Linked DNA regions of Notamacropus eugenii. The protein of the gene in region 1 interacts with the protein of each later gene in a biochemical or structural test. Links are inferred from orthologs where the notes say so. Each region holds a gene or a part of one and is shown in the gene's direction. Other genes may lie near its edges.

Evidence for each region.
Region 2: the proteins of KLKB1 (region 1) and KNG1 form a complex in vitro, tested with the Homo sapiens proteins (4 studies listed by BioGRID). The link is inferred for Notamacropus eugenii from reciprocal best matches to the Homo sapiens genes KLKB1 and KNG1.

The regions. Positions count from the first base shown.
Region 1 is NC_092878.1:105,426,169-105,442,302, forward strand, and holds the start of KLKB1 (plasma kallikrein), read left to right. Parts: upstream 1-7,426; 5' UTR 7,427-7,894; intron 7,895-9,079; 5' UTR 9,080-9,080; coding exon 9,081-9,138; intron 9,139-11,389; coding exon 11,390-11,552; intron 11,553-16,134. UniProt on the Homo sapiens protein: Participates in the surface-dependent activation of blood coagulation. Activates, in a reciprocal reaction, coagulation factor XII/F12 after binding to negatively charged surfaces.
Region 2 is NC_092877.1:376,977,245-376,992,992, reverse strand, and holds the start of KNG1 (kininogen-1), read left to right. Parts: upstream 1-8,743; 5' UTR 8,744-8,984; coding exon 8,985-9,176; intron 9,177-14,313; coding exon 14,314-14,424; intron 14,425-15,748. UniProt on the Homo sapiens protein: Kininogens are inhibitors of thiol proteases.

The DNA.
Region 1 (16,134 bases):
ACATACATATGTGTATATATGAGCATGTATACACATCTCATATACCCATGCATATATAATATACTATGCATAATATCTAAGTGCCCCAGTATACAGACATGCATGGTTAAGCAAAACAAACTGCCATATTAACTGTATCCAAAAATACTTGTCTGATTCTGCATTTAGAGTCCAATACCTATTAGGAGGTGGGTAGGAACATGAATGATTATGTCTATATAACATACATATTATATATATAACCTGCATCAGTATCAACATAATTGATATCAATAATAAAAGTAATCATTTGATTATGTCAATAGGTGCATAAAAAGCTTTTGATAAAGTACACTCATTTCTATTAAAACATTTGAAAGTATTAGCAGAAATGGATTTTTCCTTCCATTGACAAAAAAGCATTTATTTAAAATCATCAGCAAGTATTATGTGTAACAAGAATAAACTAGAGGCCTTCCTACTAAGATGAGGTATGCAACAAGATGCTCATTATCCAATATTGTATTGGAAATCCTAGCAATTGCAAAAAGAGAAGAAAAAGAAATAGAAGAAATCAGAATAAGGAATAGTTTTCCTTTTGATTGACCATCCCTCATTCCTGCTATAAATCCCATTTGGTCATAATAAACAGCAAGGCTCCTTCAATATCCCCCCACTCCGCTGTGTGCTGTTTGAGAGATTGATGAAAGTTGGTGAGGTAAAAGCTCCTGAGTTGAGATGAAATTTCTTGAGACCTAGACTGCCTCTCCACCAAGCTGCCCCTCTGGTCTGCTGTCCTTTAATTCTGTGGAGTTGGCCCAGAAGTGTCTATACTTCACTCAGGCCAACCTCAACCTCTGGAGTCTTCTCTTTCAAGTTTCTTTAGGAAGACTTTATTTTTTCTGCTCTACGTTTTATTTCATGTTGATTTTTCTGTCTCTGGAGGAAATCTAGAGACCCATTTCAAAGGTGTGATTTGTCTGTTTCCAATGGCTTCAAAATTAGACCTATGAAAACACAGTTTGGGTATGTCAACTACCAGTATAAAAGTTGGTCCTTTGAAATGTTTCCTCAGGTGATCATCGATGTCAATCACAGGATGAGCAGGTAACAACATATAATAAGAACATATCTTCCCCAACAGAGAAGATATTCATAGATTTGTTGTTATCTATTTATAGATCCAAATAAATTAAGAAAATCAGAGTGGTGTTTTTTTTTAAAAATAGAAATACTGACATTTAACTTTTATTCTTCATAAAAGCAGAGATGTTAAGAAACCCTTTTTCTTTAAATCTGGAGATACTGGAGTGGTTTGCCATTTCCTTCTCCAGCTCACTTAACAGCTGAAAAATTGAGGCAAAGAGTTAAGTGACTTGCCCAGAGTCATGTAAATGTCTGAGGCTGGATTTAGTCTTCCTGATTCTAGGCCCAAGACTTAATTCACTCTAACACTTAGCTGCCTTAGACTAGATAACAGGCACTTCATACTTACTATTTTCTTTCTTTCTTTCTTTTCTTAATGTGGCTCATTTTTCAGGGAGGCAGAGTGGAACAGTAGAAAGAAAGCAGATCTCTCTTGCCTTCCAATTCTTTCCAACACTTTGCCTCCATCTCGTTTGCTCTTCTATTGAATGAACATGAAACAGTTCCTGTCCTTGGGGAGATAACATTCTAGCAAGAATGGGGAAGATGCCATAAGAATAGATAAGTGAAGCATTTATTAAATGATTTAAGTGAGGCAGAGCTGTGCCAGGTTGTCAGCCTCACTCTTTCAGAGTTAGCCTGGCATTCCAGACCCTCCACAATCTGACTTCAATGTGTTCTTCCAGCCATATTGTATGTTATTCCTCTCTATGACCTCAATAGCCACCTTGGATGACTCATTTGTTTTTTGCCGTATTGTTCTCCCTTCTCCTGCCTCTTTACCCTTGTTCAGACTGTTCTCCCATGCCTAAAATACACTCCCTTCTGATCCCAAAGTGGTAAATACCTTCACTTCTTTTTAAGACTGAGTCCAGGCATCACTTTCTTCATATAGCCTTCTCTGATTTACATCCCTCCTCTCTCTTGCCAAAAACGCTCTCTTGCCTTCCTATTCTTTGAAACACTTTGCCTCAATCTTTTCTTTGTCATTCTATTCAACATTCAATTAAATCATTCATTACTAAGCAGTAATTGTTTCTCTTTTACCCAGGAATTCTGAGGGGCTTCCTCTCCCAGTTTGATTTTTTTTTTTTTTTTTTGGTTAAAAGGGCTATCCCTTGAGTAACTACTTAAAGAAGCCTATTTGTTGAATGGATGCATCTCACTCAAAGTGAGAATGTGATAAGACCTTAACCTGAAAGGGTTGCACCCTGGGCCATCTCCAGTTGTCCTGATGAATATCAGGCCACTGGACCCAGGTGGCTCAGGAGGATAAAGTGAGGCTGGTGACCTTGCACAGTCCTCCCTCACTCAAATCAAAGTCAACTGCAAGTCATGCCATCATCTTGATATCATGGTCCTCTTCGAGAATGAAGGACAAACACAACAACAATTCAGCACTTATTAAGAGCCATGTACTTTGCCAGGTACGGAGCCCAAAGACAAAAATGAAACAGTTCCTATCTGTAGGGACCTTGTATTCTAGCAAGATGGGGGAGATATAACAAGGACAGATGGGAGTTAATCAACAAGCATTTATTAATGTCTACTATGTGCCAGGCATTTTTTCTATGTGTTGGGAATACAGACAGATACAAAGAATGAAATGATCCTTCTTCTAAAAGCATACACAATATTGGATAGGAAAATAAAAGATAAGGTAATTTGAAAGGGGACAGAGTGCTAACTGCTGTCATGTAATAATGATATAATATATATTATATATAATATATGATAATATAATTGCTAGCATTTCCATAGCATCTACTATGTTCCAGGAACTGTGCTAAGCACTTTATAAATATTATTTCATTTGTTATTCACCACAAACAACTCTGAGAGGTTAAGGATTGTTAATATCCCCATTTCACAGTTTAAGAAACTAAGGCAAAAAGAGGTTAACTTACCCACAGTCACATAGAAAGTGCTTGAGGCTGGATTTGAACACAGGTCTTCCTGACTCTGGGCCCAGCACTCTACACATTCTGGCACCACCAAGTAGCCTGACAAAAAGCCATCAGACTTAGAAACTAAAAGAGATGGAAAGGATTTGAGAAGCAGGGGGTAGAAAAGAAGAAGAGGCAGGAGTTTTTATGGTAAATGAAGAAGGGATATTGGACAATGACTTGAGGGAGACAAGATGAGAGAATAAGAATGAGTCATATTCATAGAAGAAATGGGAGGGGATCCAAGGCCCAAGAAAGGTCAAGGGCCCTTGGCAAAAGGAAAAACCACCCCTTCCTCAGATCCCAGAGAAGAGGGTTTAATAGAGGAGAGGAGCAGGACTATTGCCTTTCTTATCCTGAATGCTATTGTGTTATTCATTTATTTCAGTAGTATCTGATTCTTCAAGATTCTGTTTGGGGTTTTCTTGGCAAGGATACTAGAGTGACTTGCCATTTCCTTCCTGAACTCATTTTGCAGATGAAGAAACTGAGTCAAAAAGGATCAAATGACCTACCCAGGGTCACACAGCTAGTAAGTGTCCAAAGCTAGATTTGAGCTCAAGTTTTCCTGACTCCAGGCCCAGCAATCTATCCACTGCACCACCTAGCTGCCCCTGAACACTATACCTCTATTAATTCAGTATAAGATTGCATTAGATATTTTATTGATGTGTTACCAAGTTAAGTTATATATTAAATTTACAGCACACTAAACTCCTATGCTGATATATATATATATATATATATATATATGTACACACACACACACATATATATATATATATAACTGATCCTTACATCTCTTCTCTTTGTGAGATTGATTTTTTTAAACCCAATTGGATGAATTTACATTCATTCTCATTAGATTTCATCGTATTACATCTGATCCATACAAAGGCATCGTTAAAGCAGAGAGTCTCATCCACCTTGCCATCCTGGGCTTCTCATTTAACATTAAGGATCTCACTCCTTGGGGCATTATATTTTTCAGGTCACCATCTCCCATCTCAAGTAAGCATTAGCATGTCAGCTGTAGTCAGACTCCTCTGAGTTAACCAAGAAAGACACATCAAGTCATTGTGATGGAAGGCTTTTTTGCCATAAGCAGCACTTCCCCTTTTCTTTGATCCAGTGACACTGGTTTCCTTGCTGTTCCTCAGAGAAAACACTCCATCTCTCAGCCATTTCATCATTTTCATCAACTTTACCTCCAGGATGCTCCTGCCTGACTCCAAGTGAGGAGTACAATATAAAAAGGTGGCACCCAATATTGACTATTAAGGAACATCCGGGAAACTAGGCATGTTTAACCATGAAAAGAGAATGAGAGTCACAAGATGAATATTGTTTTCAAATATTTTAAGTTATATCCAAAATATGAATGAAAAAAATTTTGGAGGGTAGGACTCTAGAGAGCAAATCTCACACTAATGGACAGAAATTATAATGAGATTCATTTTGGTTCAACATAAATAATAATGTTCTATTAACTTATGTTTATTTGATCCATAAGCTTCACAAAGTACTTTCTTCAATAAATTTTTCAGGTAGGGTGAAAAAGTATTAGTATTCCCATTTTACAGATTCAGAAACTGAGGTTCAGAAAATAATGTGACTTGGCCTGGCTCATATGATTAGTAAATATCTGAACCAGGTCTTGAATTCAAAGTCCAGTGCCCTTTGCATTGCATGTTGCCTCTCTACCACAAAAAGAGCTCCTATATTTTAGTGCCTATGTGTTTGTTTTCTCTTTTTTTTTTTGATCTTTTTGGGCCTAGAAGGGGTATCACTGCACCAGAGGTATGCATAGTATAATAGATTTTTGGGCATAGCTCCAAGTTGTTTTCCAGAATTACTGGACCAGTTCATAGTTCCACTAACAGTAGATTAACATACTTAATTTCCAACAGCCCTTGTGAAATTTGTCATTTTCTTTTTTTTTTTTAATTTTGCCAATATAATGGATATGAAGTAGAACCTTGGAATTTGTATTTATGTTTCTCTAATTATTAGTATTTTCAAGAACTTTTTAAATATGATTATTGATTGATAGGTTGGATTTCTTCTTGTGCTTTTAACTGCTTATCAAATGGAAAATGGCTTCTATTCTTGTAAACTTGAATCAGTTCAATGAAACTCCTTCCTCATTCATTGGCTTTTCTTCTAATTTGGGCAAGTAGGTGACACAGTGGATAGAGTACTGAGTTTGGAGTCAGAAAGACTTATCTCCCTGAGTTTCAATCTAGCCTCAGATACTTACTAGCTCTGTGACCCTGGGCAAGTCACTTAATTCTGTTTGCCTCAGTTTCCTAATCTGTAAAATGAGATGGAGAACGAAATGGCAAACCACTTCAATATCTTTCCCAAGAAAACCCCAAATGAGGTCACAAAGAGTCAAAAGGCTGAAAAGTGACTGAACAACAACTTCTAATTTTGAATGCATTGGTATGCAAAAACTTTCAAATTTCATATAATCAAAATAGTCAATTCTACCTTTTGTGATCCTTTCTATTTCTTATTTGGTCACAAAATCTCCTTTTATCAATAGATCTGACAGATAATATCTTCACTTATTCCTCTAATTTATTTATGACATAATCTTTTATTTGTCATGTATCCATTTAGAACTTCTCTTGGTATGTAGTGTAAGATGTTAACCTAAACTGTATTTCTACCAAATTACTCTCCAATTTTCCCAACAATTTTGGTTTAATACTGAGTTATTGTAATAGTTGAGTTATTTGGGTTTATCAAACATCAGGCTACTGTGCTCTTTTGCTTCTGTATATTGTTTCTCATCAGTTCCATTGATCAGCTTTTCTATTTCTTTACCAATATCAAATTGTTTAGATGATTACTTCTTGTGATATTGCTTTATATCTAGAACTGCTAGGGCCGTTTCTTTCATTTCTCTTTACATTTTTGTCCTTTGTGCTGAGGTGTGTTGATTTCTCTCCCATTCCAATGGCATTCTAGTTTCTTGAGCAAAAGGCTACTATATTCATGTTGCCTTTTAAAGTTTACCCAGTACTTTGTAATTTATTGCCTCAATTAAGCCCCACCAAAAGCATGTGATTGGTATAATAGACAGTTTTATTTCCATATAACAGATAAAAAAAGAGGTTCAGAGATATCAAGTGAATTCCATATTACTTCTGAGGGTGCTATTTTGTTACCTAGGACCACCACCTTGGTGTTTTCTTTGACTCCTTACTCAGCATATTCAACTAGTTTAGAAATTTAGTTATTTCTATTTCTACGTCTCCCAAATATATCTCCTTTCCATCCACACAACCACAATCATAGTTCTAGTCTTCATCGTCTCTGGATTACTGCAATTGCCTTCTCATTGGATTCCCCAACTCAAGTCTTTCTCCACTCTAATGCATCCCCCACACAACTGCCAAAGTAATTTTCCTAGAGAGTGCCAACTCTGATCATTTCACCCTCTCTTCCTATGCACTTACTTCCACTGGTTCCCAAATACATCTCAACTCAAATATAAAACTCCTCGTTTGACATTTAAAGCATCTGACAACTAGTCTCTTCTTAAATATAGTCCCCCACAAGCAATCTACAGTTAGTCAAGTGGGTCAAATGTCTTGTTTTTTACAATGTTTAACATGCTGTATCTGTGCCTTTGTAACATATCCGAAGTATATCCACTCTTTGCCTCTACCTGTTAGGACCCCTGGCCTTCTTCAACACAAAGCTCAAGTACTAACTTCTTGTACTAAAAGGTACTAACTTTTGCCAGTTACATCACCACCCTCTCTTTGTTTGCTAATGCTTTCCCCTCTAAGGTTGCCTTATACCTAATTTGCATGTATCTTGAATACAGCTATTTATGCATATATGGTTTTCCCCTTTAGAATATAAGGTCATTTGCAGCCAAAGTGTGTTTTCACTTTTTTTTTTTTTTGGCATCTCCAGTATTTGGTCTAGTGCCTGGTAAACAATGGATAAATGCTTTTTGATGGTTTGATCCATCACTCATTATCACACAGCTACTCAAAGGTGAGATCTGTACCCAGGCGGCAGGATCCCCCATAGAAAGATCACTAGGTCCAAAGTCAAATGACCTGGGGTTCAATTCCAACTTGAACTGTTAAATTTTTCAGTATGAGTATTTATGCTTGAGAAATTGGCAAATATTATAAATCCAGGCATGATTTATTGTTTTGCTGATTTCCAGAAGTAAGAAACCAATGGGGGAAATGTTAGTTGTGCAGATTAAATATAAAAAGTGTGTCATGGGTACATTTCTCCAAACATCTATTGTTAAACATTTACTCATCCACACATTGCTATCCAAATCCCACCTGTCTCTTGCACCCTGTATGACCTTGACTGGCCACTTATCAAAAAGGGTTGGTCTAAATGGACTTTGAGGTCCCCTCTAGCTTTGTGATTCTATGACTCTCAGTCTAGCTCTATGGACTCTATCTGCCACTCCAGATCCCTTCCATGCTGCTCCAATGGAAAAAGTGCAGCCCAAGAAGGGCAATTTTCTTGTTCTAAAATGACATGATATTCTAAAATATAAAATAATTGAATCCCAGATGGGTGTTACATAGTTGCACAGTAAAGTAGCTGACATATTAATGAAATTGCGGAAACCCAGGAGGGCTGGACATTTATTAAAGATGTTGACAGAGAAAAATGCTGACAGTCAGTTGGCAGAAGATCAGAGTCAATGTTAGAGGAAAGCAAATACGTGCTGTGCCACAGTCCTCTTTACGAAGGGATGACCATCCAACATTTTAAGTGGACAGAAGACCTAATCCTTACGTCCAGAGCCATCGAAGCCTGCACAATCTCAGGTAGAGAACCTCTCTTAATTCTGATCGCTTCTCTATAGGCCATTCTTTGCAGTGGACTATGGTTTTTTGTTTGTTTTGACGTGTTTTTTTTTACTTGATGAAGCAATGTTTCAATTCTAAATCACTACATATTTAGGAAGCCAACATGAGCCAGTTAGAAGTGGAAAGATGGCATATCACGTTTTTAAATAAAGCATGTTTTTGTTCATTCTGAGCTTGTCACTAAATACAGTGTGCATTTTCATATACAAAGTAGAACGGGAAATGGATTATACATGAAACTGTAAATCTCTACTATGCGTGTGGAAGTTATTTTAAAACCCCCATCGCTAAGGTTTAAAATCAAGCCTGGGCAGAAATCTTCCATACTCTTTCCTCACTATGAGATCATATGTTGTATCACTGATAAATAAGGATAATGTAGATTAAACAGTTGTGTTATTATATATATGTACATATATAGTGTACATGTATAGAAAGGGATAGAAAGATTTCTCTCCCCACATATACATATATATTTTCCTCTCTTTCCCTCTCCCTTCCCCACCAATACTAATAACTGAAGCTATATCTACATGTCTATTATATAAATATCTATGTAATATGATATACTATATGGTATAATATTTTGTTACATTTTATGATATCATTTCATAATATATTGCATTTTATAATTTAACATTTTATAATATATAACATAGCTATATAATAGAGAGAGCTAAATGCAGACATAGATATAGACATAGACATAGATATATATATATAGATATATAGCTATAATATATACATATGTATATATTTGGTAAGTACCCTGAAATGTCCTTCAGAAACAAGAAACTAAGGAGCCGGACCAGAGGGGTTGCTATCAAGTTAAGTCAATGAGCATTCCTAAGCATCTACTATGTGTCAGTCATGGTGCCAAGAACTGGGAGTTGTTAACTGCTGTTATACTCCATGTTTTTTGAAGTGCGCTGGTTTTTGTTTCCCAAGAAATTTTCCACTGACCCATCTTCTCAGTACCTGGGATTCTGTGCCCAGAATTCATAGTTAACATTGATCAAAGGAAAGGGACAGACTACATTTTATCGATTTGTTAGATTACTTGGTCACCACAACTCCAGGTTGTGCTTTCTTGGCAGATATTGTCCTAGTCCCCAAACTTGGTCATGTGTTTTGTCATTTTAGGATGGATTTCCTACACCAAGCAGTATATTTCCTCTTCTTCTTTGCTACAGTGACCAGCGGTAAGTTTAGCTTTAAAACATATCTTACCCAAAGAGAATTTCCCACAGTTGGTAAAGTCAAGGAGGTGGATGTCATAGGCACCAGTCTGTGAAAAGGGCTGATTTCTCTGGGGAGAAAAGGAAACTAGGGAGCTGTCTGCCCCTGCATCTGTGATCATCGGACTCCCCTTCTAGGGACCAGGGGCAAGAACTAACATAACTGCTCTTTAGACTTACCTTCCTTGTCTTTTATTATGAAAAAGGCGGAGAGGCCCAGATGTGCAGAATCAGATGGGAGGGGAAGGTTGCTAATCCAAGAAATCAGACCTTTGAAATGAATAAACAAGATAGGCTTCAAAAACAAAACCAAGAACTATACTCAAAAAGCTATGTCCATTTTTAGCAGTCTTGTTTCATTGTAGCAGAGCACTGACTCTGAAGGTAGAGGACCTGAGTTCAAATCTTACCTCTGATGCTTGCTACCTGTGTGACCTTCGACAAATCACCAAACTTCCCTTGGCCTTGGTTTCTTTATCTAAAAAATGGGCCAGATCTATTCAATAACCTGGAGGATTTCTGAGATCACTCTAGCTCTACATCTGGGACAGGACTATTATTTATTTTTACTACCAGGTGTCAATTTGAGTTTAACTGTATTCAGATGGCCCCCAATACCTGTCTCATTTGAAGTTTATAGGAAATAAGAAATAATAAGACACTTGATGGATCTATGTTGTCACTCACAAAGATACTCTCCCAATTACCCCAGATCATACCCTTATTATGTCATCTTATTCAGTGAAATTCTCTGTTTGTAAGTCTTTCTGTCTGTCTCGGTCTCTGTCTCTCTTAATCTCTCTGTCTGTCTGTCTCTGTCTTCATATGTAAGAAATTCCAATGTAACATTTCAATTGTTTATCTATATTTCTAAAGCATAGACCCAGTGTGTCATTCCCCTGTTCAATAAACGCCAGTGGCTTTCCTGCTATGTATAACATCAAACTCATCCACTTCTGTGAAACATGTAAAGCTCTTTACAATCTGATTCTAGCTTGCCTTTCCAGAGTCACTCCATAAGAATCCTCTTTATGCATACTATGGTAAAGCCAAAATGACCCTTTTAGTATTCCTCACCTATAATTCTCCATCTCCCACTTCCATGCTATTGCCCAACCTATTTCTCATATCTCTGATTTGCTTTTCTAAAAAGAAAAGCAACTTTTAGGGGTCAATAATCCCTTTAATCAAACACATGTATCACTCACTTAATTCAGGGAAAAAAGTCAGCCCCTGAACTTCGGAGAATACACAGAGAAATCAAAGATCAACAGACAGACTTCCAACTATCTGACACACATCACAGATCAACAGATACATGTCTGACCATACATACATAGTTACCAGAGAGGGAAGCATCAACATCTGGGTTTTCAAAGCTAGGGGGTTCCTTAGTGCCTTCCCAGAGTCTTGTCTGGGCAAACAAAATATTTCCACTCCATAAACCCTAAAGTAAAACCTCACCTCAGAGTATTAATACATTTTTTAGTCATAGGGCCTCACAACCTTGAGAACCATTGTCTCATTAGAAACTTAACAAAAAGTGTGGGCCTTCCTGCAAATCTTCCTTAATCAAATTCCCTTTAATAGGCAGGCCCATTAATGGGTGGGAAAGATCTTTAATCATATTAAAATAATTAACAACACAAATACATATACTGTTTCTGGTTAAAGAAACTCTTGTTTCTGCACTTTACTCCTAGTAAATGCTCTTGGTTGATAAAGGCAAGATTCAGTTAGAGGCATTTGATTATACTAAAACAAAAACAGCAAAAGATCCTACTTTGCTTGCCATCAGAGTCTAAGAATAATGATAATAATAGCCATGTGCCAGGAGCTTTACAATATGACCTCATTTGACCTTCACAATAACTCTGGAAGGTAGGTGCTGTTATTATCACCCCCATTTTATTGGGGCTAACAGAGGTTGAAAGGCCACTAAGTTAGTAGGTTCTGAGGCCAAATTTGAGCTCAGATCTTTCTGACTACAGGGCCAATGCTGTATCTGTTGCTCTGTCTCACTGCCAAATGATTTCATTCTTTCTAGGGAATTAGAGCCATATCTTAATGAAGTTGTGGGGGGAGGAGATTGCTAAGAATGGAGAGGGTGGGGGAAGGTGATAATGTTGGGGGGAAGAGGTACATAGGAAGGCATTCTTGAGCATATCCCTTGCTAACTGCACCAGATCAACACTGTCCTCTGATTCTATTACAGAGTGTGTGACTCGGTTTTATGAAAACACCTTCTTTAAAGGAGGAGATGTGGATGCGGTGCACACCCCAACTGCTGAGCTCTGCCAGAGAGCATGCACCTTCCACCCCAGGTGTACAATGTTTAGTTTTCTACCCGCAAATGCCATTAATGATGAGAACAAAAGGTAACGGCTTGGGATTCATCATCAGAGAAACTGAACTCCCCTTTCCTATGCCTCTCCCCCGATGATGCTCATTTTGGAGTTTTGGCGTCTTAGTACGTAGATTCAAGACCTGTTCTACCATTTCAGCATCTACAAGTGTGATCTTGGGCAAGTCACTTAGCCTCTCTCTGCCTCAGTATCCTCATCTGTAAAATGAGTTAGACTAGATCACGAGTGGAGAACATGTAGCTTTGAGGCCACATATGGCCCTATAGATCCTCACGTGCAACCCTTACTTGCAGACCTAGAGGGCCACATGTGGCCTTGAGGCCACAGGTTCTTCACCCCTGGGATGGCCTATAGAGTCCCTTAGACCTCTAAGTCTATGATGCTATGAAAAGATGTATATTTTCATTTCTGAGACTGCTTCCTCTACTAATGCAGATCTTAGCCTTTCATGTTGTCATCCTCCTCCAAAACAAATCACATGGTAGGGAAAAGCAGGGGATAAGCATTTATAAAACACTTACTATGTGCCAAATCCCCAGATCCTGTTGTAATCATTTTATCTCATTGACATGACTATATGGTAGACAGTCTAGTAACTTAACTTAATTCACGGATCCTAACCTAAGATGAACCTTGGACTGTAGACACACAGTCACATTTCTATCTTTTCTTCTTTCATTTTTGATTTTGCGTCCCAACTGCTTAGCACTAGGTAGGTATTTAATAAAGGCTCATTGAACGTTTTTCTTCAAAGCTGGTGTAACTTTGCCATACCAGTTATTAAGTACTTACTAATTAGTGTCCAGCACTATCTGAAGCCCTGAAAATTCAAAGAAAGGCAGAACAAACAAACAAATAAACAAACCAAAATGGTCCTGCCTACAAGGAACTCCCATTCTAATGGGGGAATGATTAATATCTACAAAATTTTATATGTGGAGTACATGAAATGGAAATGAAAGGTAATCCCATGAGGAAGGCACCAGCATTTGGTGAGAGGGTAGTACCAAGAAAGGCCACTTAAATGAAAGAGAATATAAGCTGAGTCCTGAAGGAAAAACTGTAGAAGTCAGAAAGGAGAGCATTCTAGGCATGGGGAGTATTCAGTAAAAAAGAGATACGAACATGGAGCATTGTGCTTAAGAAATGACATGAAAGCCACTGCTGCTAGATTTCAGAGTTTGTAGGAGTAAAGTGTTTGAAAACTGGAAAACTAGGGTGCTCAATAGTGTCAAATGCTGGAGAGAGTGCCAGGAGAAGGAATCATCCTTCACTGAGAAAATCCCCTTGAGTGCCCATATTACCTCCATGCCATTATGAAATCTCAGCCTCAGGCTTTAGTGGATGGATCCTTTTCAACATCTGACAAATGTTCATAAGAAAGGCAGCACAGTGTCATGGATAGAAAGCTGATTTCAGAGCCAGAAAGATTTGGGGTCCAGACTTGCTTTTGATATATACTCTGAACAAGTCCCTTAAGCAACTGTGTTTTAGGCAACTGTAGAAGACTACATATACATTGCAAAAAAAGGAACAAGCTTGCATGGGTAGAAGATGCTACCTATATCAGTGAAGTCCCAGTTTCAATCCAAGTCCTTATTTGTATCTTTAATAAATCCTAAAAAAGCCATTAAATGGAGAAGAATAATAGGAGCCCCCCCCCCCACCTCAATTCCTACTCAGATGACTCATCATGGTTTGGAGATGACTCAAGGTTCTTGAAGCCCATGCCAATGAAATGCAAGTTCTCATAGATCCTAAGAACATGGAAAGGCTTTCAATATTAGTTCAGTGCTAAAATATGTGTTTGGAGTCTGGTAACTAGCCTTTCTAAGCTCAGAGATGCCATCACTTGTCACTTGATCACAAGGTAAAGGGGTTATTTTTGACCTACAACCACCCTGAAACTTAAATTTTCACAATTCTTAGTTTTTGCTGTACTTGCTATTTGCTCTGATCATGTATTGGATGCTCATATTTCCCTCGTTGACCTCTGATTTTCACACCTAAAATTTTAGAATTTAATTAAGGGTTTTTCTTCCTTTGCCAGATGGGTTGTGATTTGCATATGTGGAAAGCCCAAATTGATGAAATGGTATATCTTTGACGAAGCAAATTTGTTAGGGTCTTCCCCTATCCCTTTAGTCAGAAAAGACCTTGTGTTCTACCTATCTTAGGTGACAATTTATGTTGTGTCACTCTAATCAACCATTCAATCGATCAACAAGCATTTAATAAGCCCCTACTCTGTGCCAAGCACTGTGGTAAGTGCTGAGAATACAAAAAGAGGCAACAGACCCCTTCCCCCTTCCCCCAAAGACCTTACTACAACCTAAGGGATGAGACATCATGCAAACACAATTATAGAAATAATTAATCAACATTTCTTTATTTTATTTTTAAATTTTAGACAATTTTTTATTTTCAGTTCTCAACATTCACTTTCACAAGAATTTGAATTCAAAATTTTCTCCCCATCTCTCCCCACCCCCCATCCCAGGACAGCATGCACCCCATCCATGCCTTCTTCCAGTCTGTCCTCCCTTCTATTACTTCCCTTTCTTCCATCCTCTTTCCTCTCTATTTTCCTGTAGGACAAAATAGATTTCTGTACTCCATTACCTGTATATATTAATTTCCAGTTGCATGCTAAATGATTTTTAACATTCATTATTAAAGTTTTGAGTTCCATATTCTCTCCCTTCCTCCCTCCCCACCCACCCTATTCAGAAAACAAGCAATTCAATATAAATCATACATGTGTAACAATGCAAAGTACTTCCATAACAGTTATGTTGTAAAAGACTAACCACGTTTCCCTCTGTCCTATCCTGCCCTCTATTTATTACATTCTCTCCCTTGACCTGTCTCCCCATAGTAGCGTTTGCTTCTGATTATCCTTTTCCCCAATTTGCTGTCCCATCTATTATCTTCCCTCTCCTATCCCCTTCCCCCTTGCCTTCCTACATGTTAAAATAGATTTCCATATCCAATTGAGTGAGTGTTATTCCCTCCTTAAACCAAATCCCGTGAGAATAAGGTTCACTTATTTCCTTTTATCTCCCCCCCCCTCTTCCCCTCCATTGTAAAAGTTCTTTCTCTCTCTTGTATGTGAGATGATTTGCTGCATTCTACCTCTCCCATTCTCTTACTTCTGGTACATTCCACTTGAGTAAGTACATGCATACACACACACACACACACACACACACATATACCTGCACATATACATTGTACACATACATGCATGCCCATATACACTTACATATTTAATAGATATGTACACACATATACATATATGTGTGTGTGTGTATATATGTATATTCCTTCTAACTACTGTAAAACTCATGATTTACAAATAACATCTTTCCATGTAGGAATGCAAACACTTCAACTTTAACATGTTCCTTAAGGCTTCTCTTTCCTGTTTACCTTTTCATATTTCTCTTGATTCTTGTATTTGAAAATCAAATTTTCTATTCAATTCTGGTCTTTTCAACAAGAATACTTGGAAGTCCTCTATTTCATTGAAATTGCATATTTTCCCCTGAAGTAGTATACTCAGTTTTGTTGGGTAGGTGATTCTGAGTTTTAATCCTATCTCCTTTGCCCTCTGGAATTATCATATTCTAAGCCCTTCAGTGTCTTAATATAGAAGCTGCTAAATACTGTGTTATCCTGATTGTATTTCCACAATACTTGTATTGTTTCTTTCTGCTTGCTTGTAATATTTTCTCCTTGACCTGGGAACTCTGGAATTTGGCTACAATATTCCTAGGAGTTTCTCCTTTTGGATCTCTTTCAGGAGGTGATCAGTGGATTCTTTCAATATTTATTTTGCCCACTGGTTCTAGAATATCAAGGCAGTTTTCCTTGATAATTTCTTGGAAGATGATGTCTAGGCTCTTTTTTGTTCATGATTTTAAGGTAGATCAATAATTTTTAAATTATCACTCCTGGATCTATTGTCCACATCAGATGTTTTTCCAGTGAGACATTTTCCATTGTCTTCTATTTTTCATTCTTTTGTTTTTGTTTTATGAATTCTTGGTTTCTCATAAAGTCATTAGCTCCCATCTGCTCCATTCTAATTTTTAAAGAATTTTTTTCTTCAGTGAGTTGTTGAACCTCCTTTTCCATTTGACCAGCTCTGCTTCTTAGAGAATTGTTCTCCTCATTGATTTTTTGGACCTCTTTTGCCATTTGGGTTAGTCTGTTTTTAAAGGTGTTGCTTTCTTCAGAATTTTTGAGGGCTCTCCTTTAGCAAGCTGTTGCTTCACTTTTCAAGATTTTTTTTGCATTGCTCTGAATCTTCTCAATTTTTCCTCCACCTCTCTTAGTCGATTTTCACAATTCTTTTTGAACTCTTTCATGTTCTGAGACCACTGCACATTTTTTTTGGAGGTTTTGGATGTAGAAGCCTTGACTTTGATGTCTTCCCTGATGGTATGCTTTGTTCTTCCTCGTTCGAAAGGATGAAAGAAAATACCTTTCCACCCAGAAAGTAACCTACTATAGTCTTATTTTTTTCCCTTTTTGGGGCATTTTCCCAGCCAGTTACTTGACTTTTGAGTCCTTTGTCAAATGGAGGATA
Region 2 (15,748 bases), on another chromosome or scaffold:
AAGTTCTGAGGGGCTTCATGTATCATCTCCCCACGTAAGAATGTAAACAATACCCTTTAGTTCTTAATGATTACTCACTCATATTTACCGATCTTTTTTTCTATTCAAATTTCTGCTCAACTCTGGCTTTTTCATCAGTAATTCTTAGAAAACTTCTATTTCATTAAAGATCCATTTTTTCTCTTATAGGATTATCCTCAGCTTTGCTGGGTAGGTTGATCTTGACTGTACTCCTAGATTTTTTGCCTTCTGGAATATCATATAACAAGTCCCCCACTTCTTCAGAATGGTGGCTGCTTAATCTTTGCTTTATTCTTTGCGAGTTCCTGATTGTGGCTCCTGAGTTCATGAATTCTTTCTTTTTGGTTGCTTGCAGTGTTTATTCCTTGACTTAGGAGCTCTGGATTTTGGTTATAATATTCCTGGGATTCTCCATTTTGGGATTTCTTTCAGGTAGTAACTGGTGAATTATTTTAATTTTTGTTTTTCCCTCTAGTTCTAAAAGATCTGGGTACTTTTATAACTTCCTGAAATATGAGGTCAAGGCTCCTTTGGTTTTCTTTTCTTTTTTTTTTACTTTGTTCATCACTTTCAGGTAGTCCCATAATTTTTAAATTATTTCTCCTCCATCTGTTTTCCAGGTCTTTCATATGAGATATTTAAGTGTTTCCTCTGTATTTATCACTCTTGACTTTATTTTATTGTTTTTTAAAATTTTTCTTGGAGTTATTAGCTTCCATTTGGCCAATACTAATTTTCAAGCAGTTATTTTCTTCATTAAGGCTTTGTACCTCTTTTCCCAAGATGTTAATTCTCTTTTCATATTTTTCTTCCTTTTATCTTGCTTCTTTTTTTCCATTATTTCCTTTACCACTTCAATTTTGTTTTAGAAATAACTTTTAGCTCTTTCTTTAACTCTTCTAGCATACTCTGCTTTGTAGATGTTTTTGAGTTATTTTCTTCTAGGTTTGTGTCTTGAATTTCCATATCACCATAATAGCTCTTAATGGTGATATTCTTTTATTTGTTCTAGCCTTACTTCTTGACTTTGAGCTTTATGTTAGTGTTGGGCTCTGCATAACTCTGGAAGGGATGTCAGTTCTATGCTTCTATACTTCAACATCCTTTTGCTGTTTCTGCAGCTCTGTCTGGGGTCCTGACAGTTTTCATGGACCCCCAAATGAGGTGGTCCAGAAGATGGTGTATTCATTGCCCTCCTGGTCTGAGCTCTGCAAATTCCTGACCCAGGGTTGGGAATGTCAGCTTATCCTTGGTTGTGAGTTCCAGTAGATTGTTGCTGGACTCAGTCACTGTTAGCCTGCTGAAAGATTCTGCAGGTTCAAAACTCTCCCTTGGTCAGGGACTGTTGCCTTAGTTATTCCAATGCAGGTTTATCAAGAGTCAGAGCTGCCAAATGACACCTGTCTGCACCCAGCACCAGTTCAGAGATAATCATAACCTTAGATCTTTCTGCTGGGGTACTTCATGTCCCCAAGCTCTGTCTCAGCCTTTTTCCAGTCCCTGAGAGGTAGAATGACTGTTACTGGCCAATGTTCATAAAACTCTCTCTCTTTCTCTCCCTTAGTCACCCTAGGCTGGAAAAAAATGACTAGTTGACTTTTTCTTGGCTTTCCAAAAACAGAATTGGTCTCATGCATTTTCTAGATAGTTATGGAGAGGGATAGTGGACAGCTAGGCTCTAGTGCTTCTCACTCCACCATCTTGACTCCACCAGTTCCATTTTGGCAGTCCACCTAATGTCTTTTCTTCACCATTCAGTAAGTCAGAAACAGAATACTTGCAGGTTCACCAAACATTCCTGTATCCATGCTCCCAGGAATGGTCCCACATTCTTCAGTCCCACATTACAAATTTACTAATCATTCCTTACCATATGTTATAGAGTTTTGCCAAGAATCAACATCAAATTCACTGTCCTAGAGTATATAGATACTAGTTTCTCATGTTTACCATTCTCTCCAGTTTCATCTCTCCTCCCCAACTCTCCATGATCTTTCAAGTACCACTGACCAATCCCACCTTCTGCCCAGTTCTGAACAGGTTGTGATGTCACAGAATCTCAGAACCTCATAGATGTAAAGGAAAGACCCCTAGATGCCAAACAGTCCCACCTATACCTGAACAACAAAAATAATAATAATGGACATTTGTATAAATCCTTAAGGTTTATAAAGAACTTTCCCTATATTGACTCATTTAATTCTCACAGTAAATGTGGGAGGTATGGGCTATAAGCATCATCACCTCCAGTTTGTAGATGAGAATACAGAGGGATCTTGTCTAAATTATTCTTGATGAGTAGTCATTCAGCCTCTTCTGGAGAGTTCCATTGAGGAGGAACCCAACCTCCAAGGCAGACATTTCCAATTTGGAACATCTGTAGAAGAGATAGATAGAAAAGTAGAAATAAAGGTAGATAGGTAGGTAGGTAGGTAGATGATAGAACACTATAATTCTTTTATAGATCATGAAACCAAGGTACAGAGGGGTTTAGTGACCTACTCATGGTCACATAGCTAGCAGCATCTGAACCCAGGTCTCCCCTGACTCCAGGTTTAGTTCTTATTCCACTACACCTTGTAAGGAACTTCAACCAGATTCTGTTGGAATAAATATCTCCTGCTGTTCAAAAGCATAAAAGGCAAAAATGTGCACCCTGGCCCACAAATGACTCTTCAGATTCTACTTCCCTCCCTTTTCCAAACCCAGGAGATTCAGCAATTCAATGGATTAGCTGTTAACTGTTAATGGGCTTTTGTTGTTGTCCGCCAGGCCTAGAGGCCTGTGTGGGCTACCCGAGTCTTTCTTACCTCACCTCCGAGGTCTTTGGTTGGCCAAAACCGGATGCACATATGAGAGAAAGGACGTTCCAGAGTCGAACAAGGGTTGAGCTTTATTTCAGGGTCTAGTTACAAGTGCAGGGGGGTCTTCCTTAGGAGGAAGAGGGGGAGATTTCCTAAGGAGGCTAGGATCTTAAGGGCTTGGAAATAGAAGTACAAGCGGGGAGAGAGGGGGAGGGGAGAGAGGAAAGAAAAGAAGTGGAGCCTACTGTCCTCTTGGCTCCACACGTGCTAAGAGAGAACTTTCAGGCTTCCTCAATCCTACTTAACCTTCAGCCGCACAGTTTGCATCTCAATACCGTGCTGTTAGGTAACTAGGTGTGCTCCAATCCGGGACGACCTCGAGGGCAGGGAGACTCCACCCATCACGTATCTCCCGGGGAGAGGCGGAAATACCCGAGCTAGCCAAGCTAGCTCAGTCTGACCTTCTCTAACCCCCACTGTTCATGGAGGGCCTCGTAAGACTCTAAGATTTAGAAGTCCCACTTTTACCCGCCCGAGACCGTCCACACGGAATTGAGCTTCCAATCCCAACAGTTGTCATTTTGTATTTTTTTTTTTTTTTAGTATACTTGGAGTTTAAGAAGCCTCATTACTGCAGGGTGGTGGTGGTGGTGGACTAATAACTCTTTCAACAAACAGATGGAGACTTTGGGGGAAGGAGTTTAGTTAATAGCTAATTCATTAAATTGACATAATTCTTCTCTCCCCCAAACTAAGCATTCCCCCATTTCCCAGACCTCAGAAATATTCTATCACAATGGCCAATGGCAGAAGGTGGAGGCTGATGGTAGGCTAGGAGAAGAAGTAGTGGACTGTGGCTGCTTCTGTAGCCAAGCTGCGCTAGTGACTAAATGGAAAGAGTGAAGGCTTAGCAGGATCTCACTGTTTTATTATCTCATGGGAGCTTTCAAGGCTAGTCTGTTTTGGACTGGGTTAGGGAAGGAAGGAAGGTCAGTCCTGTCTCAGTGAGCATCCAGTGAGCTGGTTTCTTCAGTGTGTTCATCTGGTATTCCTTTAAGGGTCATGTCACTGTCCATCTGGCTTTTGGGGGAGAGGAGGGCACTGTAAGGAGGAGCAGTAGTTCTGGCCCAGTGTCAGCCTGGGATTGAGGGGCAGAAGCTCCCCACAATGGGCCTGTGGAAAGAGCAGGCCTTTGATGGGGACAGAGAAGATTGCTCATGCCTTTAACAACAGTTAACCCTGAGTCTACAATCCTAGTGAAATTAGTCACCCCTCCAGGTTGTATTCTCCACATTGTGATTCCATCAGCACTGAGTAGCTGTGATGCTCCATAGGTTTTTGATCCATAAATAGCTTTCAGGGAGTCATAAAACTGCTTTGGGTTGTTACTATTAGCATAAAACTGAATTTCATCTGTCTTCTGATAAGCCAGGAATCCTGCATCTCTTGAAGCTTTGCTTGAACTTTGCTATTGATGGAATTATATGCTGCCTTCTTAGAGGTGGATGAACTATCGTGCTGGTAAATCCTGTGGAGTTCTCATTTTTCATTAGCAGCTTCTGAATTTCCCCACCATTTTCATCAAACCAGTCTTGGTGTTTGTGAGTGTTCTGACCCAGATGAGCAAATGCAGTGCTGTACACCAAATCTCTGAAAGCTGCCCACTTTTCTGCTTCACTGTTGCCACCTTTGTGTGGGCTCAACCTTCCCTCCAAGTTAGCAACTGTTCACACTCAGAGAAGAGCTCTAATGTGTTGACATTAATTCTTCTGGTAGTCATTTTGCCTTGGGGAGGGGCACTTTTGATGAATGTGAATATTTAGCTTGGAAAGGATAAGTCTGTGATCAGTCCAGCACTCTGCACCACACATTGCCTTTTGTCACTTTCACATCTTGTCTGTCTCTTCTCCTTACAATCACATAGTCAATTAGATGCCAGTGCTTGCTATGAAGTTTTATTGTTGTTTAGGTAAATGGAAAACAGTGTTGGTGGTGAGAAGGTCATTTGATGTGCAAGTCTTCAGCAGTAAATGACCATTGCTGTTGCTTTTCCAACTCCATTCCTCCCTAGGACTCCCTGCCAAGTCAGGTAGTCTGAGCCTACTTTAGCATTAAAGTCACCCAGAATGACAAGCTTGTCCTCTTTTGGCACATTGATGATAAGGGTCTCTAGGTCTTCATAAAATTTTTCTTTGACCTCATCAAGGTTTGTCATGGTGGGAGCATAGGCACTGATGATGGTGGCAGGGCATTTTCCTGCAAGTGGCAGTCACATTTTCATGAGCCTGTCATTCACTCCTTTTGGCCAGCATACCACCTTGTTGACTAGATTAGTTTTGGTTGCAAAACCTATGCCAGCTTCATGGCACTATTGATTAGTGATGAGGACATTATCCTAGAGAGACTGGCTGAACACTTCCATAGTGCTTTCAACAGACCATCATCAATCAAAGCTGAGGCCATTGACCATTTGCCTCTTTGACCATTTCCCTCCTTAGCTGAACTTCCAAGTGAAGAAGAGGTTTTGAGGGCCGTTAGGCTCCTTTCATGTGGCAAAGCTGGTGCTGATTCTATTCCAGCTGAGATTTACAAGGTAGGGGGACCATTGCTCATACAGAAGCTGACTGAATTTTCCAGGTTATATGGCAAGAGGAGGCTATCCTCTAGGAATTCAAGGATGCCTCCATTGTCCATCTCTATAAAGGTAAAGGGAATAGATTATCCTATGACAATCACAGAGGGGGTCTTTCTCAGATTCTTGTTAGAGTCCTCCTTAGTAGGCTGATCCTTCACCTAGGAGATGGGCATATATCTGAGAGCCAGTGTGGCTTCAGAAAGGGCTGAGGAACAGTTGATATGTCTTTATTGCTCGACAACTCCAGAAGAAATGCCAGGAGCAGAACAGAGGTCTGTATACAATATTTGTAGATCTGACCAAGGCCTTTGACACTGTCAGTCATGAGGACTTATGGAAAATTGTGTCAAAATTTGATTGCCCAGAAAAGTTCATCAGCATTGTATGTCAATTTCATGAGGGAATGTTTGACCAGGTTCTGGACAATGCTCTTGTGCCTTCCCAGTCACCAGTGGAGTGAAACAGGGCTGTGGGCTTGCTTCCATGCTTTTCAGCATGATGTTTTCAGTCATGTTGTCAAATGCTTTCAATGATGATGAACACGGTATCAAGGTCAACTACCATACTGATGGTAAATTCTTCAATTTGAAAAGGCTACAAGGCAAGACCAAAGTGGAGGGAGTGTTGGTGCATGATTTTCTGTTTGCAGATGATTGTGCACTCAGTGGAGCCTCTGAAGTTAAGATGCAGAAAAGTAGGGATCAATTTTCTGCTGCCTGTGCTAATTTTGGCCTAATAATTAACACCAAGAAAACACAGGTGCTCCATCATCCACCACCACACCATCCATATGTGGAACCATTGATTACAACAAATGGAGAAGTTTTGAAGGCTGTGGATAAGTTCACTTTCCTTGGTAGTGTACTTTCCAGGGATGTACACATCAAAAATGAGGTTGATGCACATATTGCCAGAGCTAACTCAGTGTTTGAGAGGCTCTGAAGAAAAGTTTGGGAGAGAAGAGGTGTTAGACTGACTATCAAAACTGAAGGTCTACAGAGCTGTTGTGCTGACTTCATTGTTGTATGCCTGTGAAACATGGACAGTCTACCAGTGTCATGCCAGGAAACTGAATTGTTTCCATTTGAACTGTCTTAGGAAGATTCTGAGGATCATCTGGCAGGATAAGGTACCAGACACTGAAGTCCTTGCTCAAACTGAACTGCCAAGCATTCAAACTATGCTTCAGAGAGTGCAACTATGATAGGTTGGTCATGTTGTTCGAATGCAAAATGTACACTTGCCAAAAAGACTATTTTATAGAGAACTCGCAAGGGGCAGGCAATCACATGGTGGTCAGAAGAAGTGATAAAAGGACACTCTCGAGGTCTCTCTCACAAACTTTGGATTTGATTGTGCTACATGGGAGACACTGGCACAGGACCGCTCAGCATGGTGTACCCGTATCAGAAAAGGTGCTGTGTTCTATGAGCAAAGTAGAATTGAGACAGCACAAAGTAAATGTAGGATGTGCAAATTTGGAGTGTCCACCCCAAATATTCACACGGACTCTCTGTGCTCAACTTATGGTAGAGCATTCTGAGCTCATATTGGTCTGATCAGCCACAGTCAGACACACTGAAACTTGAGTTTATCATGGTGATGTCATTTTGGTCCTCTTTGAGAACAAAGGACAATAACCCACCAATTCTCCACATCATCAAACTTTTCTGAGGCCCGGACCTGAAGGGTTAGAAAAGAAAGCCAGGCTGAAAGTATGAAACCCAAGCAGGGGAAAATGCTATAGGTGAGCAGGCACTTTAGGTGTGGATGAGGAAGGGGACAGAGTCAGATCAACAGTCCCTGCAGGAAGGTTATGCCTTTCTGGGAGGCCATGCCTCCACCTCCTCCATCCTGCTGATCATTACTTTCCTTGAGGTTTGGTCCTCCCAAGCCAGTTAACCTTTATGGGGATGGGGGATGGGGAGGGGATAAGTTGGGAGGCCAGGCAGCACCAGGAACGGCCTGGAGACTTCATCCCTCCTTAGCAATTATCATAAATCATGCCACCAGAGGTTGCCACTTTTGCGGTGGACCAAAGTCATCCAAGTTGGCTGGAAATCAAGAGGTCTGAGTCTTGGTTCCTATTATGACACTAATCTTGGGCCTCTAGAAGAGGATGGAGTTGGACCAGTTTGCCTCTCAAACCCATTCTGTGAGATTTAAGACCTATTTAACTGTCCCAGGTCAGCCTCAGTTTTCCTTCCTGTGTGGTCTTGGACAAATCACTTCCTTTCTCTGTTGCCTCAGTTTCTTCTTTTGTAAGATTGAAGACATGATCTAGGTGATTCCCAAGGTCTCCTCCAGCTCTAACATGAGATTTAGGGGACAGGGTGTGACTTCAAGCTCTCTTTTCATCCCCTTTCCCAGCAGTATCCATCTGTTCATTAAAAGGGTTGTTTTCCACCAATGAAAGTACCAAGACTTCTTGGATGTCAAATATGAGGGGAAAATGTGGATCCCTAACATTTACAGTATTTTAAGGTTTGCAAGATTCAGTACAATTCACCTTATTTGACCCTCACAATGATGCTATGAAGTAGATTCTGTTATTAGCACAGAGAGGCACTAGTGTCTAAGGCAGGATTCAAATGCAAGTACTGTGGACTCCAAGTTAAACACCCTAAGAAGGACAGTTTAAATCAGCAGTGGTCAAATGGGTCCATGGAGGGGAGGGGAAACTCACCCAGCATCAGCCTCAAGTCACCATGGAATCTCTTTCATGCTTCTGGGTGGTGTCTGCTGTCTCCTCCCCCAATCTAAAGGGGACATTTATATTGTTTGTCCTAGATGCCAAAATGCCCAGTGATGGCCTTTCCCCTTTCAGGGCCTGCAGTGTGGAGGGGGTAGCATCAGCCACAGCAGGAATGGATGTCTCTGTCTCCCTTGTGTCCCTTCTCCTCAGTGCTGCCTGAGGCATAGTCTTTTGGAAGATAGTTCTCCCGGAGACTAGCTTATGGGCAGTTGTGTGATGCCCTAGTGGCAAATGTGGCTGACCTGGGGCTAGTCACTGAGGAGGTCCCACCTCTGAGATGGCTTTTCTTTCTTCCTTCCTAAGTCAGTGACCTCCTAGGTCACTGAACCAGAACATTCCCAAAGCTGCCAGCATGTGTTTCCAAGAGGTTTTCTGGGAACTGGCCCCAACTTAGTGGGGAGTTAGAGGAGCCTGGTTCCTGAGGCAGGACAACAACCTCTGTGTTGCAATGATTTCAACATAAACTATTTGGCTAAACTGGGGGTGAGGGGTGGAGCTGGTAGGAGGTGGGTGGGGGTGTTCATGCTCTCTGAATACCGCAAACTGTAGTGCCACAAATTTAGCCGTGCCATCTGAGCAGAGCAATGAGGTTACTGTTTTGTGGTGATTAAAACAAACCCAGAAAAGACCAGAAGAAGAAGGAGAGGGAGAGAAAGACACAGAGAGAGTGGGAGGAGAAAGAAAACGGGGGTGGAGAGGTTTTAGAGTCAGTCTTTGCCACCCTGGTGACAGTTCCCTCCGCAGCCAGAGAGGTGGTGAGCAGCTCAGAATGAAGCTAACTGTGGTCCTCCTGCTTGTGGCCAGCCAGCTGAGTGTCCAGGTTGTGTCTTGGGGGAATGATGTTACCTGCGAGGATGATGATGTCTTCCGAGCTGTGGATGCAGCACTGACCAACTACAATAACCAAAAGTCATCTGGCCCCCAGTTTGTCCTGTACCGAATAACGACAGCCTCGCTGATGGTGAGTGAGTGACCTTTGTGGTCACTTCCTGGGCTCTGTTTGCTGATTGTCCTGTGCTGGTAAAATAATGCCCAGGGGCTCAGCTAATGTTCTTCTGTGGCACCTCCATGCCCTCCTTTCTCAGTGCTCCTTCAATGTCCAACCCACCCATGGCCTCCACACTCACTCTTCCTCTTTCTGTTGTGGGTACCATACACATACACACACACATGTATATATGTATGTATATATATATATCTCCTTTTCCTTTTTTTTTTTAAAAATTTCTTTCACTCATGATGGAATATGCCATCCACATCCAGAGAAAGAACTATGGAGTCTGAATGCAGATGGAAGCATACTATTTTCTCTTTTTTTCCCTCATGGTTTTTTCCCTTTTGTTTTGATTCTTCTTCTATAACATGACTAAGGTGGAAATATATTTAACATGATTGTACATTTATAGCCCTATATCATTGCATGACATCTTGGGGAGGCAGGAGGGGAGAAAGGGGAAAAACCAGGAACTCAAAATCTTATAAAAGTGAATGTTGAAAACTAAAAATAAATACATAACGAAGCAAAACAATAAAAAAAAATCTCGTTGATTTGGTGCTAATACCTAATCTACGAAGAGGTAAAACAGAGAAAGAAAACTATAGACCAATATCCCTAATCAAAATTGATGTAAAAATTTTAAAAATAAAATACTAGCTAAGAGGTTATGGCAACCTATCACGAGGCTCATACTCTATGGTCAGGTGATATTTATACCAAGAATGTAGGGCTGGTTCAATATTAGGAAACCATCAGTATAAGTGACCATATAAATAAAAGAAAACAACAGACATCTGATATGATTTTCTCAATAGATGCAGAAAAAAATAACTTTTGGCAAAATACAACACCTGTTCCTATTAAAAACACTATGCTTTTTGGCAAAGGAATGAAGGGAGCTTTCCTTAAAATAATTAATAATACCTATCAAAAACCATCAGCAAGCATTATCTGTAATGGGAATAAGCTAGAAGTCTTCCCAATACAACAAGGGTGAAGCAAAGATGACTATTATCACCACTATTATTCAATATTCTATTAGAATGTTAGCCATGGCAATAAGAAAAGGAAATTGAAAAAAAAATTAGACTAGACAAAATGGAAATAAAACTATTAAGCTTTGTAGATGATAAGATGGTATAGTTAGAGAATCAACTAAAAATCTACTTGCAATAATTAACAACTTTAGCAAAGTTGCAGGATTTAAGATAAACCTATATAAATCATCAACATTTCTATATATTTCCAACAAAATCCAGCAGCAAGAGGTAGAAAGAGAAATTCCATTTAAAATAACTGTAGACCATATAAAATGCTTGGGGGTCTACCTGTCAAGACAAACTCAGGAACTCTAGACATACAATTATAAAACACTTCTCACATAAATAGTCAAATCTAAACAATTGGAAAAATATCAGTTGCTCAGGGGTTGGTTGAGCCAATATAATAACAATGATAATTCAACTGAAATTAATGTGTGTGTTCAGTGCCATAACAATCAAACTACTGAAATTTATTTTATAGAGAAAGAAAAAATAACAATATTCATCTGGAAAAATAAAAGGTCAAGAATATCAAGGGAGTTAATGAAAAAAAATGCAAAAGAGGGTGGCCTGGCCATAGCAGATCTCAAACTATATTACAAAGTGCTAATCATTCAAACTATCTGATACCAGTTAAGAAATAGAGTACTTGATCAGTGGAATATATTGGATACACAAAACACAGGAATAAATGACCAGAGTAACCTAGTGTTTGATAAACCCAAAGACCTCAGCTGCTGGTATAAGAACTCATGATTTGACAAAGATACTGGGAAAACTGGAAAACCATGTGGCAGAAAATAGGTATAGACCAACACCTTATACTGTATACCAAGATAAGTTCAAAATTGGTACATGATTTAGACATAAAGGGTGCTATCATAAGCAAGTTAGGAGAGCAAGGAATAACTTGACTATCAGATCTATAGAGAAGAAAAGAATTAATGACCGAAGAAGAGATAGAGAGCATTATGAAATATAAAATGGATGCTTTTGACTATATTAAATTAAAAGGGTTTTACATGACCAAAACCAGTGCAACCAAGATTAGAAGGAAAGCAGCAAGTTGGGAAACAATCTTTACATCCAGTGTTTCTGATAAAGGCCTAATTTCTCAAATATGTAGAGAACTGAGACAGATTTATAAGGATACAAGGCACTCCCTAATTGCTAAATGATCAAAGGATATCAATGGGCAGTTTTCAGAAGAAGAAATCAAAACTATATATAGTCATATAAAGATAATGTTTATAATCTCAGTTGATTAGAAAAATGCAAATTTAAAGCAACTCTGAGGTATCACTCCACATCTATCAAATTGACTAATATGACAAAAAAGGAACATGACAAATATTGGAGAGAATGTGGAAAATTTGAGATGCTGATGCATTGTTGACGGAGTTTTCATTTTTCTTTTCCTTTTCCACTTCCTTTTCCACTGATCCACCACTCCATTTCTTATCCAGCATCAGACTGTTTTCTTGATTATCATTTTATAATATAGACCAAAATCTGAAACAGCTAGGCTACTTTCATTCACATTCTTTCATTGATTTTCTTGATATTCTTGATCTTTTGAATTTCCAGATGAATTCTGTTTTTTTTTCTACTTCTACAAAATAATTCTTTGGTAATTTGATTGTATGGCACTGAAAAAAACTAATGGGTAGAATTGTCATTTGTATTATATTGGCTCAGCCTATTCAATGGCAATTAATATTTCTCCAATTGTTTAGATTTGTCTTTATTTCTATGAAGTGTTTGATAGTTGTGTTCACATCACCTCTGGGTTATCTTGGCAGGTAGATAGATTAACAATGGGGAATTTTAAATTTGTTCTTTTGCTAGGTTTTTTTTAATTGCATGAACAATTCATTGATCTGCTCTATCTCTTTTATTGATGTATATATTCAGAGATATATTTTTTTTTTCAAGTACTTCTTTAGCTTCATCTCACAAATTTTGGGATGTTGTCTCATTGTTGTCATTCTCTTTAAAGAAATTATAAATTGTTTCTAGGATTTATTTTTTGACCATTCTTTAGCTTAGACTATTTAATCACCAAACACTTTTCCTTCAAAATGTAAGAAGGCTTGTTGTGAAAGATCCATGTTTCTCTATCCTAATAGGTATTTGCCATATTTTATAGAATGTCTAGATAAGAGCTTGAAGGAATATTAGAGGGCATCTATTTCAAACCCTCTTCTCTGTAATGCATGATGAAACTGTGACCTAAAGAGGGGAGGCAACTTTCCCAAAGTCACACAGAGAAGAGCAAGATTTGAACCCAATTCCTTTGACTCTGGGTCGATTCAATTAACAAAACAACAATAAAACTGTTAAGAACCTCTTATGTGTAAAGCATTGCTCAAATACTGGGAATTCAAATAAAAAACCCAACAATCCTTGGCCTTACCGAGATTGTATTTTCCTAGAAACCAATTCAGATTGCCTTCCACATCTCTTTCTTGAGGCCAAGCTTTATCATTCAAATTTATCAATGCTCACTTTCAATTGTTTTGTTGTTGAATAAATTAATTTTTTTGGCATAAAAATACTTCCCGACCTTGTGTCCATTGTGTTGGATGATGTCAGTTAATTGAATGAAAAAAGAAAGAGACCGGAACTAATCTCATAAAAAGAAAAGCAACACAACTTAGTCATGCCAATTCCACGTACTCCAGGATGTAGTTTTCTTGGACAAACATGAACATGATTCCAGAGGAGAAACAACTAATGGCCGCTATGAGCTTCTCCAGGCTGATCAAGCTCCCAGAGGCCATACATCCTGAACCCCCAAACCATGAATCAATTTTATTAAAAACAAAGCAACAGCTAAGCCATTGTTCTGGAACTACCTTTCCTTATAAGCATACCTCAGATGGGTCTAGTGGATTTTAGTTGCCAGTCCATTGACACAGCATCCATAGGTAAATCCTTGGCTAGCCTTTGTTTGACAAATCATGTGCTAAGGGATGGAACCAAATTGATGCTTCATTCATGCTGGCAAAGAGAGAAAACCAATTATTTGTCCCATGTCATGCAGAATTACAGAGTCACAGAATGTTAGGGCTGAAAGAGAACTTAGAGACATCTAGAGTCATCCCATCATTTACAGATGAAACTGATACCTAGCAGAGGAGAAGATTGTTTCTTAAGGACACAGAACTAAAAAGGAATAGTGTGGAGGTTGGAATCCTGGTGTTCCGATTTGCTGTCCAATGTCTTCCCACCACTCCAAACAGCTTTTAAAAAGAAATTAAAGAAAAATTTAAATGTTCCTTCCCATCCCCAAGAATACTTTATTAGAGACTACACCTTCACAGTTACCCAAATGACTGAGACATGGAGAGAATCCAAGGTTCTACTTTGTTTATCAATCACTGATTTTTTTTTTGTTAATTAAAAAATTAATTTTTCTAATTGGCAAATATTTCACTGTCTCTTCACTAACGGAAAGAAAACCAAGCCAAATAATAGCTTGAGACTTTCAAATCAAATGTGATCAGGGGAATTAATTATAGATGTAGGATTCATCAGGTGATGACTTAAGGACTACAAATGAGGCAGTGTAATGTCATGAGATGAGTGCTATCTTGTGAGTGAGGGGTCCTGGAGTTCTAGACATTGATCACATAATTCCTTCTCTTTTTTGGACCTTAGTTTTCCCACCTACTAAATGAGATGATTGAATTACCTGATTTCTAATTAGATTCAACCAACTTTTGTTAGGTGGTTGCTGTGGGTCAGGGACTGTGGAAGGTGCTGGGGATTCAAAGTCAGAAATGAAATGCGCTCTGCCCTCTGCCACCTTATATTCTACTGAGGGGAAACAATGTGGGGACAGGTAAGTAAAATACAAGAATTGAGGAAGGTAGTGTATTAAGGGATTGGGATGGTGTTCTCATATTCTATGAATAATAAGACCAGCAGAGAACCCGAAGAAGATCAATTCAATCAAACTTGCAGCAGATGTGTGGTGAGAACCTCCTAACAAAGCCCTGGGTTTGGGGGTTTCGCAGATTTGCAACACAATGTCCATTTGCCGTTTCCCATAGGACTCCAGTGAGCACACCGTCAAAATAACCTATGAAGTCCGAGAGAGCAAATGTACGATTGAAACAGGCAAAAACTGGAAAGAATGTAGCTACAAAGATTCTGCAAATCGGGTAAGATTCTTTTACTATCTATCTGTCTATCTACCTATCTACCTACCTACCTACCTATCTATCTATCTATCTATCTATCTATCTATCTATCTATCTATCTATCTATCTATCTATCTATCTATCTTCTTTTCCCTTTGAAATTTGCACTTTGGTGAGAGAAGGAAGGAAAACTCTTCTCATTGGTCTTACAGGACCCAACAGAAGGAGGACAAACTCGAAAAGTATTCTGGTGGTCTATTTTGAAAGTTAAATGGATTTTTTTTCTCTGTGATCAAATGAATATGAGGGGTTTTGTTTTATGTCATGGCTTTAGGCATAAAGGGGAATTGATGAAGGAGTCAATGTTATAACAGTGAGGAAGGCAAGAGATTGATCTTAGAGTCCAGGAAATTGGTGGCTGCTGTCTAAAGGTCTTTTGAGGGTATTAGCTTCTTTCCTTGCTGGAGAATGCTACAATGCTCAGAGAAAATCCAAAAAGTAGGGCTTTAGGGCTAGATTTCTTGCTAACCTACTATATCATGGTTCAATGGTGGCACAGTGGATAGATTGTCAGGTCTGGAGTCAGGAAGACTGATCTTCCTGAGTTCAGATCCAGCCTCAGATACTTGCTAGCTGTGTGACCCAAGGCAAGTCTCTTAACCCTGTTTGTCTCAATTTCCTCATCTGTAAAATGAGCTGGAGAAGGAACTAGCAAACCACTTAAGAATGATGTCTCTGGTTTTAGCTTGCAGTACTTGGAGGGTCCCTAATTCTGTTCATGTGTGTCCTCTCTCCGCTAATTTTATAGGAGGTCTTGAGTAGCTGGGCTTGAAAAATGAATCACCTTGTGGCCAATCTAAACATCAACAAATAAGGAGGATGGTAGACTATAAGTCCAACAAAACCACAAGTCTATCACTGGCTCTGTATTTGTCATTTTGATAGACTTTGCCAGAAGTTGAGTTCCACTGGTAAAACCTACAAGAACCCCAAATTACTAAGCTACTAAGGTACTAATATATAACAGGTAGAGTCCTAAGGTAGCTCATATCCTGGTAAAGGGGAAATACTTCCAGATCTGGGAAGAATAATGCTAAGAAATTCACCATTTATAGTAGCTTTCATTCAATATCTCCCCATAATAGAGTAGGACAAGCCCTGGCTCTGGTTCAAGGCTCCATTATGAAACTTACCTGTACATCTTTGACTTAAATCCAATTATCATCTTTATGCAGATGATTCCCAGATTTATATTTCCAGCTCCAGCCTCTCCTCTGAGCTGCAGTCCTGCATCACTGATTGTCTATTGGACATTTCAAACTGGTTTTCCCAGAAACATCTCAGA